2 linked regions of the Caenorhabditis elegans genome follow. The protein of the gene in region 1 interacts with the protein of each later gene in a pairwise test. Each region holds a gene or a part of one and is shown in the gene's direction. Other genes may lie near its edges.

Evidence for each region. The genes of interacting proteins can lie anywhere in the genome.
Region 2: the proteins of lim-8 (region 1) and F47G9.4 interact in a two-hybrid assay, tested with the Caenorhabditis elegans proteins (one large-scale study listed by BioGRID).

The regions. Positions count from the first base shown.
Region 1 is NC_003281.10:6,800,583-6,806,441, forward strand, and holds the start of lim-8 (PDZ domain-containing protein), read left to right. Parts: upstream 1-2,205; 5' UTR 2,206-2,220; coding exon 2,221-2,244; intron 2,245-3,176; coding exon 3,177-3,229; intron 3,230-4,646; exon of another isoform or gene 4,647-4,851; intron 4,852-4,985; exon of another isoform or gene 4,986-5,058; intron 5,059-5,079; exon of another isoform or gene 5,080-5,109; coding exon 5,110-5,281; intron 5,282-5,328; coding exon 5,329-5,487; intron 5,488-5,859.
Region 2 is NC_003283.11:11,316,288-11,323,886, reverse strand, and holds F47G9.4 (putative RING finger protein 207 homolog), read left to right. Parts: upstream 1-2,070; 5' UTR 2,071-2,175; coding exon 2,176-2,214; intron 2,215-2,262; coding exon 2,263-2,457; intron 2,458-2,596; coding exon 2,597-3,136; intron 3,137-4,619; coding exon 4,620-4,986; intron 4,987-5,038; coding exon 5,039-5,162; intron 5,163-5,207; coding exon 5,208-5,450; intron 5,451-5,497; coding exon 5,498-5,791; intron 5,792-5,897; coding exon 5,898-6,564; 3' UTR 6,565-6,674; downstream 6,675-7,599. Other genes in the region: str-141 (Serpentine receptor class r-10), read left to right, coding at 67-246, 319-400, 496-574, 622-756, 851-992, 1,084-1,212, 1,261-1,438, 1,486-1,565; cutl-18 (CUTiclin-Like), read left to right, coding at 7,007-7,190, 7,293-7,599.

The DNA.
Region 1 (5,859 bases):
CTTTGGTAATCTTTTCTGGCAAATATTTATGAAAATTTAGAGAGGGTAAGCATGATTTCCCTTAGCCAGACCTCTCTTTGGCCTCAGCCGAAGGTTTTTCTCTCGTTTTTAAAAAAAAAGAAATATCAACCAGTGTCAAGGAACGGCTACTGACGATTATTTTTCATATCACTTTACTAAACCAAAACCTATTCATTAAACCATCACATAACATTTATTAGCTTACCTGGTAAGAAACGGATTTTTTAGACACTCAGTCTTCTAGGCAAATCCATAGGCTCACTCCCCAAGCCTTATGAGGGATTTTGGCTCCAAAATTGCCTAAGGCACATATGACTCTCGATGACGGATGTCTTCCATTAGATGTCTAAATGCCGTGAAACAGCTGTTCCTCAATATTTGACCATGGTCCGGGAGATTTCCGTGGCGCAGAAATAATTGGCAGATCGTTATTCCGCCAATGCAAATGACTGTATTATGGATTCTTGTGGATGCAGGAGTGTCTTCTTCACCTTCTCCCAGGACACAGCAGGACACCTGTTTCGGGCAATCAACACCGACCTGGTCGCCATTTGCATAATGTGTTTTCTTGAGGAGAAGAAAAAGAAAAAGGAAAAGAGTAAGAAGGATGGATACCTAGTTGTCGGAACGAAGACATATGCGTGTCGTTATGAAGAAACCACAGTTGAAAAAGAATGAAGGATTAGACGTCTGACGACGACACCGTTCCGCCACCTTGTTTCTTCTTCTGATCCTTCGTGTAATATTACTGCATTTTTGGCTTTTTCCTATTCTTTTGCGTTCATTTTTCTCATTTACATATCTACATGTCAAAGTGAAAAAAAAAGCTATTCCCTACAGTAATCGTACGTTCTGATAGGTCATTGGAGAATATGTTCCAGGAGTTCTAATCATAAAACAATTGTTCGTTGGGTTCAATACTTCAAAAACATCAATCAAATCAGGCGCTATTTTAACAAGTTCAGATCTAGACACGTTTCAGTATACTTCTCTTAAAACTAAAAAACTTTGTTTTCATTCCACAAATGTCCATCCTTGCCTACCAAATTGAAGTCAATCTACCATATTAAAATAATTTAAAAACATGAATTTATTGGGCCACTGCAGAAATGTAATCCATTAATGGGTCTACCCTACATTCTACCATGTTGTTTCTTTTTAGAGAGGAATTTTTAAGATGGAAATATTATGAGAATCAACTATTTTTGGAGATGAACTGCTTGTTTTTCATTATTTCAGAATTCATGGCTTCTTATGGCGCTGTGATACTGTTGTTATATAATTATATTCGGTTTTTTTTATTCTCAATGTCTTCTATTTCCCTTTAAAAGCTTCTCCGAACTTCAGATTTATATTCTTTGCCCTTATTTCCCTGTCCAAGTTTCAATTTCCCTGGCTTCTGCCGCTTTTAGACTATCTCCAAATCACCACCATCTGATAACTGATCCATAATATCTTTTGACCGACATTCCTTTTCATCTCTTCAATATTACCGACTTTTGTGTATATTTTATGATAGAGCGTACGAGACGAAGAGACGCAGACATTAATTTTATGCTTTTCTTGTGGATACGCAGAAATAAGAAGAAATAAATTTGAATATTGTTCCGAAAGGATCTGACCACTTTCTCTTCAGATTCACTCTCGTTCTCTGATTATCAAATTATCGTGTCAAATTCATTTCAATTCTGGTTTCTCCCGAAATTTTCAAAACCGATTTTATTGAATTTTATTTTCCTTAATTTATGCTTTCCGTAGTGACATTAATTTGAGAATTTTTGGATGTGGATTTCTTTACCGCTTTTGAACATACTTTTTTACAGTTTGTTTTAATTCTCGGTACCTTTTTTATTAATTGAACATTTGGATAACAAAGTTATGGACCATTGTAATAGGTTCCGTTCTTCTCAAAATCTCAAGTCTTGGTGTCAATTTTCTGTAAATGTGTGGTCGATTTCTATTTTTCTTCCTCTCTGAAGAAATGTAAACTGTCATCAAATTTCCCACAAGTTAAACGCTATTTCTGTTTGCTCAGAGGTCTTTTTCTATTTTTGTTACTCGTGTTTGTGTTCTATTTGAATTTCAGATAATCTATTTTGATTCTCTGGAAAAAACATTGATTACTTTTTTTGATGTTCTTCTTGTAACTTGACTTTTTTATTGTTTCATTTCAATTATTTGCAGAAAGTCGTAAAGATGATGGAGAATGATTACGCAGTGAAGGTACTTTCAAAGTGTTTGAATTTTTCATTGTATATTTATTAACATTTTGTGGCTAATTCATTTTCAAAATAGTTCAACGTATTCCTGTGTTTTCTAGTTATTCTAGCTTTGCATTTTTGCTGGGCAAAAGTTTGTAAAAAACAGTTAAAGCTCTGAAAACATTTTTTAGTACAGAAAAGTTAATTAAAACTCACTGTTAGATTGAGAAGGGGTTATTGGAAAATTATTTTGGAAATTAACATATTTTATTTGGCACACTGAAAAAAAATAAAAATTTAGAAATTATAAAAAGGAAGAATCAAAACTGTCCAATGTCCCATATCATCCTAGTTTTCTTGCACGCAAACCAAAACCTCAAAAATGCCCAAGAATGTTGGGCATATTAATATTTACATTTCAAGAGGGCTCACATACTCACCCCTTTTAACACACAGTCTTCACACAAAAACTAACTGATAACAGGAGACTTTTTTGTGTTTGATTGGTATTATGATCGATTTTTATCATAAATGATATGTTAAAGTGTTCCTTTTCTGTGATATGATTCATTTCTGAAATGAGTAGGATGGAAGAGAAATGAATAAAAAAGTTGAAATTTTTGAATCAAAAGTTGCGTTTATAATCAAACTACGTTCCTTTTTCAGTTAAGCATTTAGTTATTTTAAAGTTTATCATCATTTTTTAATCAAGATGATGATAACATAATACTCGTAAAACATGTTTTAAAGTTTTATCTTTTAAGTTGTAAAAAATACGTTATTAATCGCCCACTTTCACCTCTAATACTCGAAAATGATATTTTAAGTGATTAACTTCATTATGTACTTTATCGTGTTTACCTAACTTATGTCTGCCACAATAACCTTGTCGTTTCTACTTACTTTTTGTATTTATTTTTCATAAATTCAGAATAATTTCAATACATTTTTCAGGTGGCCAAGTATCCACCAAATCTTGGATCTGATTATCCTGAAGACGAATTTGGGTGAGTTTTACTTTCACCACAATAATTTTTTTGTCATTTATGATCATGTAAATCGTTCATTTAATTATGAGTGACAAGATTAATTAGGTGAATTATTTGAATTTTCAATGTCATTATAAAAGTTCTAAGGGTAGATGTAATATAAGAAAGCGGCAAAGTATGCAAATAGGTTTTAATATTCTGAAAATCAGGTTTCTTAGTCTGTTTTTTTCTCATTCTCTTTGAGATTCTTTTTCATTAACCATAGCATATTCCTCAAAATTTCTGTATTGTAGCGTTAACTACCCATTTCAATTAAGAAATTCAACAAAAGCTTTGCAGTAACAACGCATATAGGCAAAATAGGACATTTCTCCGTGGCTGGGCTGGGCCTACTACATTGAAACGTTAAAAATATATTTTGGATCATGTTCAGACATTTATAATTTAAGTTTTTATTCGAAAAAACAGTATCAAGATTCTTTGAAACGGATTTTATTTTTATTAAAACAAAAACAATAGTCATATATTCTAGACCAGTTCATTTGGGCGTGGACTTCCTTTGCAGTTTTACAAAAAATCTTTTCTTATATATTCACTAGAAAATGTTCTAGTTAGACTGTTCATTTTTCATTCCTTTTGTCTTTGAGCGTTTGCCGGTACGTGTAAACCGTTAGCCTTTCCAAAAAACCAAGCGTCGGAGCAAAAAAGGAGGGTACTCAAAGCTCTCTGTACTTACCATGCAAGCGCGAAAATTGGCGATTACGCACTCTCTTGATATTGTAGCATATTCTCAGTCTCTTCATTATTTTCTTATGTCTCGGAAAAAGAACGTAGTGACCATCTCTAACTGTGTCTCGTTTCGCCAATGGAGAGAAAATAAACAAATGAATGAGAGCATGTGAGCCGCCAATAAATGACCGGATATATGAGAGTGAGAGAAGATATTCGGCATGATTTTTGAGTCAAGGGCACTGTTACGGTTTTTCTTTTTGTTGATCAACCCTTTTTTAGTCTTATGAACTCTTTGAGCAAGTTTCTACAAGTTTCTACTTTTTCTGTATATTTCAGTCTCAATGTGGAAATGATGTTTCACAGCAACCCAACAGTTCCCAGGTTCCTCTACTAGATTAATTTAACTGTGTTTTCGATGAAAAATAACATAACCCAGTAGATATCGGATACTGCGAAAATTACCATGTGTCTTAAAATAAGTTTTACCGGGTTCCGGTAGTAGCTGCTCTCAACTCTCTGAACACTTCTCCCTGAGACGCTATCTATAGATCGCGAAACTATTTTTAAGACTGAATTACCTATTGAACTTTACGATAGTTTTCCAAAATGTACTATGTTTTTTTTTAATAAGCTCACAGTTATCCCGAATTCTATTCTCTCTGATAACTTTATATTCCTCTTGAAACCCAGATTTTCTTCACCGCAAAAGGTTTCTGGTCTCTGAAATTAGCTATTGGTAAGGCAAAAGGGACGCGAAAGCTGGAAAGAAACATCAATTACCAAAAGAGACACTTGTTTTTCGCTTTTTTCTGTGTTTTGACTTCTGACGCCTTCACATCAGATGTCCCATGTCAGAAGCTTTTCCTTTCATTTTTCTTAAAATTTATTCGATTTCTAAAAAATAATCTAGCGTTTAGGTTTGAAGTTAATAGCGGTCTCTCTCATTGTAAACTCGATCAGTGTATTAACTATTGCACATACCCTATCTGCGTCTCTATTCTAACTACAGCGAATATAGGCCTCTTTGACCTGAACTTTCCGTGCTTCCGTGGCGCAATAGGCAGCGCGTTCGGCTGTTAACCGAAAGGTTGGTGGTTCGAGCCCACCCGGGAGCGAAACTTTTTGGCTTCATAAAATTATATTTTCTTAGTAAATGAAATTTGCAGACCCGGAGCAAAAATGCTACGAGGACCGGGACAGAAATCCTCGGATCCTTTCCAATTCGTCGCCGTCAACAAAGGCGGCGACGAAATGGCTGAATCTGCGAAAAGCACACTACAAATGGCTCAACAACAGAAAGCTCAACGAGAAAAAATGTTACAAGGACAGAAACAGACGGTACGTGAGTTACCGAAGAGCCACATCCTAATTTAAACATTTTTAAGCTAAAGTTCGACGACTGTGAACCGTGGCAAGAAAATTTGGATACTTGGCGGAAGAAGAGAAAGGAAAAATTTGGAGATCGAGCCACATCGGATACTACTGTACCGGAGACTACAATTCACCGAAGAAGCGAGGAATACACTTCATATCAACCTAGAAAGGTACAGTAAGGGTTTCAACTAGGGATTTAAATGATAGTTGAGAAGCGACGGCTTACACAAAGCTCTAACGGTGCTCACATTTTGCAATGCTGAGAAATGTTGACAAAGTTTTGAAACTTCAAGTGATCCCGTCCTAATCATGTTGTTCCTTGAAAAAAACATCTGAAATCATTAAAAAAAAAGAAAATATTTATGGAACTCACACGTGTAGTCGCAAACCTATTAACCACAAAATTTAAAAAATCGTACACACATATTTGATGTTGTCAAACTGTGTGCTCATTGCGCAAAGCGTCTTCTCCATGGGTAGTAGTTTGTTTGTTTTAACCTCGAAAATAACTAAAAGTTTGACAAGTCTCGATGTCTGAGCTC
Region 2 (7,599 bases), on another chromosome or scaffold:
CTTTTTCAGACGTCATCCTTTCAGAAATAACTTCAGACTTCATTCTCCACCAGTTCACTTACAACAATGATCGGTCTACATATTTTCCACTACGCCGGCTTTTTCGGAGCACAAATCTTCAATACTGTTCTGGCAATATTAATTGTGAAAAGAGCTGGAAAACTGTTTGGTAGTTACCGTCATGTTATGTTTGTATTCACATTTTGTTCGATGTTGTACTCTGCAGTAGAGATAATTGCACAGCCGGTACGATACAATAGAAAATTGGAACTTGAAATTGAAATTTTGAGAATGTTACTTCAAATAATCGTCTTTCAGGTACTATACATGAAAGGTCCAATGTTTGTCGTGTTTCTTGATAATAACGTTTTTTCTCAAGGCATTGGAAATGTAGTTGCTTGTTAGTTTTAAACATTTTACTTTTCATAGAACTCTTAAACAAAAAATGAATTTCCCTCTTTTTTTGGTTATTGAAGTGAAAACAACAATTTACAGGTCTTCATTGTGGTACCTTTGGATTTTTGATTTCTGTATTTGCGGCACAGTTTTTCTACAGATACATTGCATTGTGCAGGTTTTCTTGAATAGATTCAACAAATTTCTGATTGAAACTCTTTTCAGACAAAGTCTGTTATCTTATTTCGATGGATATAAAATATTTTTGATCTTCATTCCATGCGTAATTACATACATTCTCTGGTTTGAACTTGTCGTTTGGGGAATGTCTGCGACTATGGAAAAACGAATCTATTTGAAGTTAGTGATAATTTCAGCGTCCATGAGTAGTTCAGTAGCTTTTTGAAAACGTGGCCTCTAGACGTGATGAATCAGTTCTGACACCTAATTTCAGAGATGATTTTAAAAATATGTATGAATCAGATTCAATGATGATATCTTTTATTGCTCCGTTGTACTGGAACAATGGACCAAATAGAGAGAAAGTTTGGAGATTTAAAGATGCAGCCTCTGCACTAGTCTGTACTGGAATTATTGTAAGTTGCCATACCAGTTTTGCCAGAACACAACTCATACATCTGCTCTGTGCCTTTGTATAAATAGAAATATCAAGTAACAAACATTTAGGGATCATTAACAACTTTAATTTGCTTCTTCGCGTTACGAATTTATCTAAAAATGCAAAAAGAAAAAGGTCATATGAGTAAAAGAACTCTGGAATTGAACAGGCAGCTTTATATAATGTTATCAATCCAGGTATGTTTTCTAGATGATAACATATATTTTAAATATTGAAATGTTAAGACTATTGTCCCATTTATAACAATGTACATCCCAGTGGGTCTTTTCATTGTTCTCCCATTTTTTGATATGGGATTAGGTGCGTATGTGAATTATCCCAGTGCCAGTATGTCTTTGTATCCTGCAATTGAACCATTAATTGCAATTTATTGTATAAAAGACTTCAGAAAGACTATAGCTAGTAAGTTTAATAAGTATTCTTATCGTGAGAATTATCACAAATTTCAGATTTCTTCCGGAGAGTTCGTGTTGGTCCAAATGGCATAAGTGTGTACAGTACTAGTGGAACACAGATGGCAATCAAATAAACAATCATATTTTAAGTATAACGTTTCCTACTATTTTTGCATGCTCTACTTTTTTTTAAAAATAAAGTTCATATGACTATATACATATATGAATATTTTCATTCTGGTTCTTTGAAAATATGATAATACTTGATCTCAATAGACTTTAAGGATCGATCTAATAAAAATGTTACTTGGAATACAACTTACTAACTTGTAAAAAACATTGGCTTCAAGTTTTCTGAAATGAGAAAATTATCCCTCGAATGAAAGTAATCACAATTTTTTAAATATCAAAGTTCTCACTTCTCTTGTAGCCTTCCCGAAAGAACTATGAACACAAAAAACCAACTTGTTAGAAACCTACTGCCAACTTTAGTGATAAGTAAACAAAGAACAGTGTGGTTACAAGTTTCCGTTCGTTCTAACGTAAATATAACAATTGTCGCTAAAGCTTCAATCGATTTGTGCTCGGGTGCCTGCAACTTCCCGTGGGGTGGTCTCTGAATCTCTGCACTCTCTCAATTATAGTCTACTTTCCCTTGCCGACTTCCCCATCTTTTTGAGTGTAATTTCACCTTGCTGTTTCTTTTTCTTTTTTTATTTTGTGTGCTCCTCAGTTAATTATAAAATGGAGGAGAATCCTCTTCAATGTACGATTTGTAAAAATGTAAGTTTAATTATGATTACTTGATGTCTAAAAGTAACTTCGATTAAGGAATTCGAAGAGCCAATACTTCTCAGTTGTCAGCATACAACATGTAGGAAATGTTCAACTGGATCACCTAGTTGCAAATCATGTTCTCCAATACCATCTACATCAAGAAGCCATACACCACATCCAGACAAGTTGGCTGCCTTTTTACTAGATGCTTCAAAGGAAGAAATGGAAGAATGTGCAAATTGTGAGCAGGTGGGTATTTACAATTGTTTGTCTACATATCATATTATTTTGGAGTTGAAAATTTAAAACTTGTAAATCCTAATTTTCAAATAAGTTTCTCCTGTTTGTTTTAGTTGTTACTTGTTCTTTTAACTTTAAATACTTTCAGATCTCACTTCCCATGTTCTACTGTGAAACTTGTCAACAATCTTTGTGTCTAGTGTGTCGAAATGTGACTCATCAAGCCAGAATGTTCTCCTCACACAAAATCATAAGTTCCGATGAACGAAGTAAAGTCTACAGTTCCTCACTGTGTAAGGACCACAATGAGCCGTATATCCTATATTGTTCGGATGTTCGAAAACTTGTATGTATTCAATGTTTTAATGGAAGACCTCTTGAAGAAAGGCACAGCTTCATTTCGATTGAGCAGGGGCATAGGTTGTGTCTGGAGCGAATCGAGCAATCCGCGGCAAAACTTCGATTTTATCAGTCAGAGCGACAAGAAGAACTGAATGTAAGACAACGAGTTCTTGATGAGAATGCATCGAATTTTGACGATGCGAGAGCTTCTTTGTATCAATTATGCCAGCAAATTATTGATACTGTAATGACAACAAGGGAGACATTGGCAAAAGAATTAGTGAAACAACAGGAGCAAAGTGATGAACAATGTAAAAGACAAATTAAAGAAATCGAAGCAGTTATGGTGAGTTATTAATTTATTTAATTTTAAAATATCAGGTTGTCCCATAAGTTTTTGTACTTTTTTTCAAATATTTTTCCAAAACTTCTAGAAAGTTTTAAAATTTTTTCATCGTAGGTCGTGTCAAGGTCGGGTCGTCCCCTTTCAGAAAAGATTCATTTCATCCATTTCTACTTTGCCACGATGACAATCATCAAACTTGAACGTCGAGACGTTAGATTGCTTCTTCTTTATGAATTTCGTCTTGGTCATTCAGCAATGGAAGCGGAACGAAACATATGCGGTGCGATGGGTGAGGGAGCACTCTCTTATAATACAGCAAAGAGTTGGTTTCAAAAGTTCAAGAACGGCGACTTCAGTCTCGAAGAAATAGAACGTTCTGGGCGACCGGTAGAGTTAAATGAAGAAGACCTAGTGAAGCTGGTGGAGGAAGAGCCTCGTCTTAGTCTTCGTGAAATGGAAGAGAAGCTTGAGTGTTGTCATAGCACAATTGCACGTCACTTGGGTCGCCTTGGTTTTACTTCAAAACTTGGAATTTGGGTGCCTCATGAACTTTCGGCATCACAGAAGCTCACTCGGGTCAACGTTTGTACTCAACTTCTAACTTTTCGTCGAAAGTTCGATTGGCTGAACAATCTGGTTACTGGAGATGAGAAGTGGGTGCTCTATGTTAACCATTCCAGAAAACGTCAATGGCTTCCGATCGGTGAGAAAGGAATACCGACGCCAAAGCCTGATCTTCACCCAAAAAAGATTATGATCTGTGTCTGGTGGGGTGTTCAAGGACCCGTGCACTGGGAATTGTTGCCAACTAATAAAACTATCACTGCTGATTACTATTGTGCCCAATTGGACCGAGTTGCAGAAAAGACCAACGGAAAATATGAAAAACTATATTTTCTTCACGATAATGCTAGGCCTCATGTCGCCAAGAAGACTTTCCAAAAGCTGCAAGATCTTGGTTGGACTGTTTTACCGCATCCACCATATTCTCCAGATCTTGCACCAACCGACTACCATTTGTTCTTGTCTCTCAGTGACTACATGCGCGACAAGCAATTCGACGACGAAGAGCATCTCAAAACTGAACTCTCCACTTTCTTCTCATCGCGTTCGCCGGATTTCTTCTCCCGTGGCATCATGATGTTACCTAGTAAATGGCAACAAGTGGTGGACACTAATGGTGAATACTTGTGTGAATAGTACTACTTGTCGCTTGAGAGAAATAAATTTTTTTCAAAAAAAAAATAGTACAAAAACTTATGGGACAACCTGATATTATTATTCTGCGTTTCATTATCTGTGGATTTCGAAAAATTTAGTGTTCAGTTACTTGAAAAGACTAGAAAAAATAAACTCAGTTTTAAAAAATTTTGAAAAACCACCGAAACACCGAAAAACACAGAGACAATCCAAAACCATGACTTTGGATGTCCGGTTTAGTCCAATTTGGTCCAATAAGCTGGAAAATATTTTAAAACTTCAGGGTCCTGTTCGTCTATGTCTGTTTTCTGCACAAATTCTATGCACAACTGCATCCAAATTAGATGTTCTTCAACTTTGTCCTCAACTTCAAAAGAGAATTGGTGTTTTACTCGACAAAACTATTGACAAACTTCCGGTATCTTCCACTCCTGACAGTATAGAAGTTCGTTCTGATTTGGCAAAAGCTCTTGAGCCATTCCTGGGAATGTCTGCTGCTTGGTGTCCAATTAGTGTGTCTCGAGAAGGAAGTTCGTCAAATTCGTACAAACGTGGCTCAGGATCTCATAAGGCAATTTCAATGCTATCCAAGTTCCAGGCAACAATTGATCTAGCAGGAGCTTTTGGAGAACTCTTTGGCAAAGTTGAACGTGAGTGATAGTTTATCTTTGTTTTGTTTTTTGCTGAGTTTAAACATTTTAGACCCATTGCGACAGTTGGTCACTGCATTGTCTTCGACTAGTCAACAAGTTCTTGAGACTCAACGAGATTTGACCATTCGAAGGTGTATTATAGAAAAAGAGGATGTTGAGAAACTTGTCAAAACGTAGGTGGCAATAATAAAAACTTCAATTGCTTATGTAATTTGTAGGTGCAAAAAAATAGAGGCTGGTCTTGGAATGCATTCGGCAGCACTTGATGGAATGCAAAGTGAGATGCAAGAGATTTGGCAGGAACAATTGGACCGAGTACGGCGACAACAAATCATTTATCGAGAAAAAGTGGAGGAGATTTTGAACCTACGGGAAACAGCTAGACAGATTCTGACAGCAGCCAAACAGTTGGTACCCTATGTATCATGCATCTTAAATATGAACGCAATGATTGATCCGAAGTATGGATATTCATACGTTTTCACTAAAATCAATAAGTATTTTTCAGACGTTGTCATCCACCCGATCCAGCTCCAATGGAGAGTATTTGTTTGGAAATTACAGGAATTGAGCCAAACAGTCAAAACCGAATTCTGGCAATTGAAAAAGAAGAAGAGAATAGAAGATTAAATCAGGAAGCAAAGAAGAAAGAAGAGCTGGCTGGTCAAAGTGCAGTGATGAAAACTCTGAAGCATGGAAAAATTAAAAGAAAGGAGATGAACAGGATGATGTTGAATACAAATAGAGAAAGAAGTCCCGGTGGAACTGATACTGCATTGACGAGCCCATGTATAAGAAGATTGTGAGTATTTTCGAAAATTTAGTTGTGAAATGTCAAACTTTCAGAAAAACATCAGTTTTTCTTTTTCATTTCGGTTTTTTTTTCAACAAAAAACACCACTTTTCAGAACAACAGCTCTCAAAGAAGAAACCGCTTCCGAACTTGACGCCGAGGAGTTTCTCGACGAAATCTTCGAGCTCAGTGGAGAACAATATGATGAAGTAGTTGATGGGACACTAACCGAGGAAGATCGATGCAGTTCAGCACTTTTATTATCTATGGAAATTTCAAGTGATTCCATTTCACCTCTTCCATCCCTTGAACAGCTTCTTGGAAGAATCCCACTGGCATCTCGAGTTACCTCTAATATTGGATTCAGTCGTGGAGCGATGTTGCAAAGTTTGAACGATGTATTCGCATTACAAAAACCTCCAACACCCGAGAATATTAGTGTGTCCGAAGAGCGTAACGTCTTGGCCTCGGCAGTCAGGAATGCGGAAAAAAGAAAAAGTGGAGCAGGTTTGCCGACGAATTCGGATAAGGACGAAGTGATTGAAAAGGAAGAAATTGAGAAAGAAACGGAAAAAGAAAAGAAGAAAGTAATCAGAAGAAGAGTCAAAAAAGTATCTGAACCATCAGAAGAAGAGGTCACAACATTCACATTTAATGCACCGCCAGATTGTCCATTTGTCCCTCAGGAGATATTTGAATCAGATGAAAAACTAGGAACTTTTGAAGCAAAAGAACGAGTATTACAGAGTTTGAAACAGAAAATGAATCAGAAAACGGAATAGAGAATGATAATCAGTGATAACATATTATTATGTACGATTCGAGTTATATTTATAGGTCATATATACAGAAACCGGTTAATTAATAATCTTAATAAAGTTTATATTGTATTGTTCTGACCTGCACTACTGCACATTTGCATAAAATGGAAAGTATCCGCTATTTTCGAAATTGTAACATGAAACTGTGATATTGTTTACATCAGAAGCATTTTAGACTTCAAAATCTTTCCATAAAAATCAGTGAGCCGAATCTTCGTCGAATGTAATTCATTCTTCGTTGTCGTCGTAAATATGACTACCTGAAAGATAAAAGGCTAATATTTGTATAGTAAAACAAGATGTTGGATTGTGGGTCACAATAAAGAAGTGGGCGTGGCATTTCATTCTCCGGAACACTATCCTTCACTGGTTTCAAACTTATGATTCATTTCAAATCTTTTCCATGATATTGCGAACGTACTTTCTCTCTTCGTTTCCGCTAATTTCCATTTCCCTACTATCCTGCATTTATTCCGTGAATGGATGTCAAGGCAAGGATACCGTAGCATTTTTTGTCAACGGAGATGCAAAACTACCCGCATCAGCAACGGCATGTTTCAATTCATGTGCTCTTGGGAATTGTACAGGTACGCCTATCAAATTGTTTTTAATTCCCTCATTTATTTATTTATTTTAATTTCAAGGAGCAATTTGTAATCTGTTATTATAAAATATTCCAAAAATTTTAGGAGTTTTATTCCAAGGAGACAAATGCATTGTAATCGACAAATCAAACTATTTTGGAAGAATCGAAGAGCGAAATTACATTGAGAAGAAATGCGTGAAAAAGGCTCCTCACAGGCTTCTTGTCAAAGAATGGGACGACAGAATACTTGTTGATAAGAGCCAATCAGTTCTTAAAGCTGAGACAAAATTAGAGTGTTTAAGTCTTTGTGCACAGGAGAAAAGATTCCCATGCCTATCTGCAATGTTCTACCGAGACAGTAAAGATTGTCTTTTGAACTCCGCGTCTAGTTCTTCAGCTAAATTGAAAAT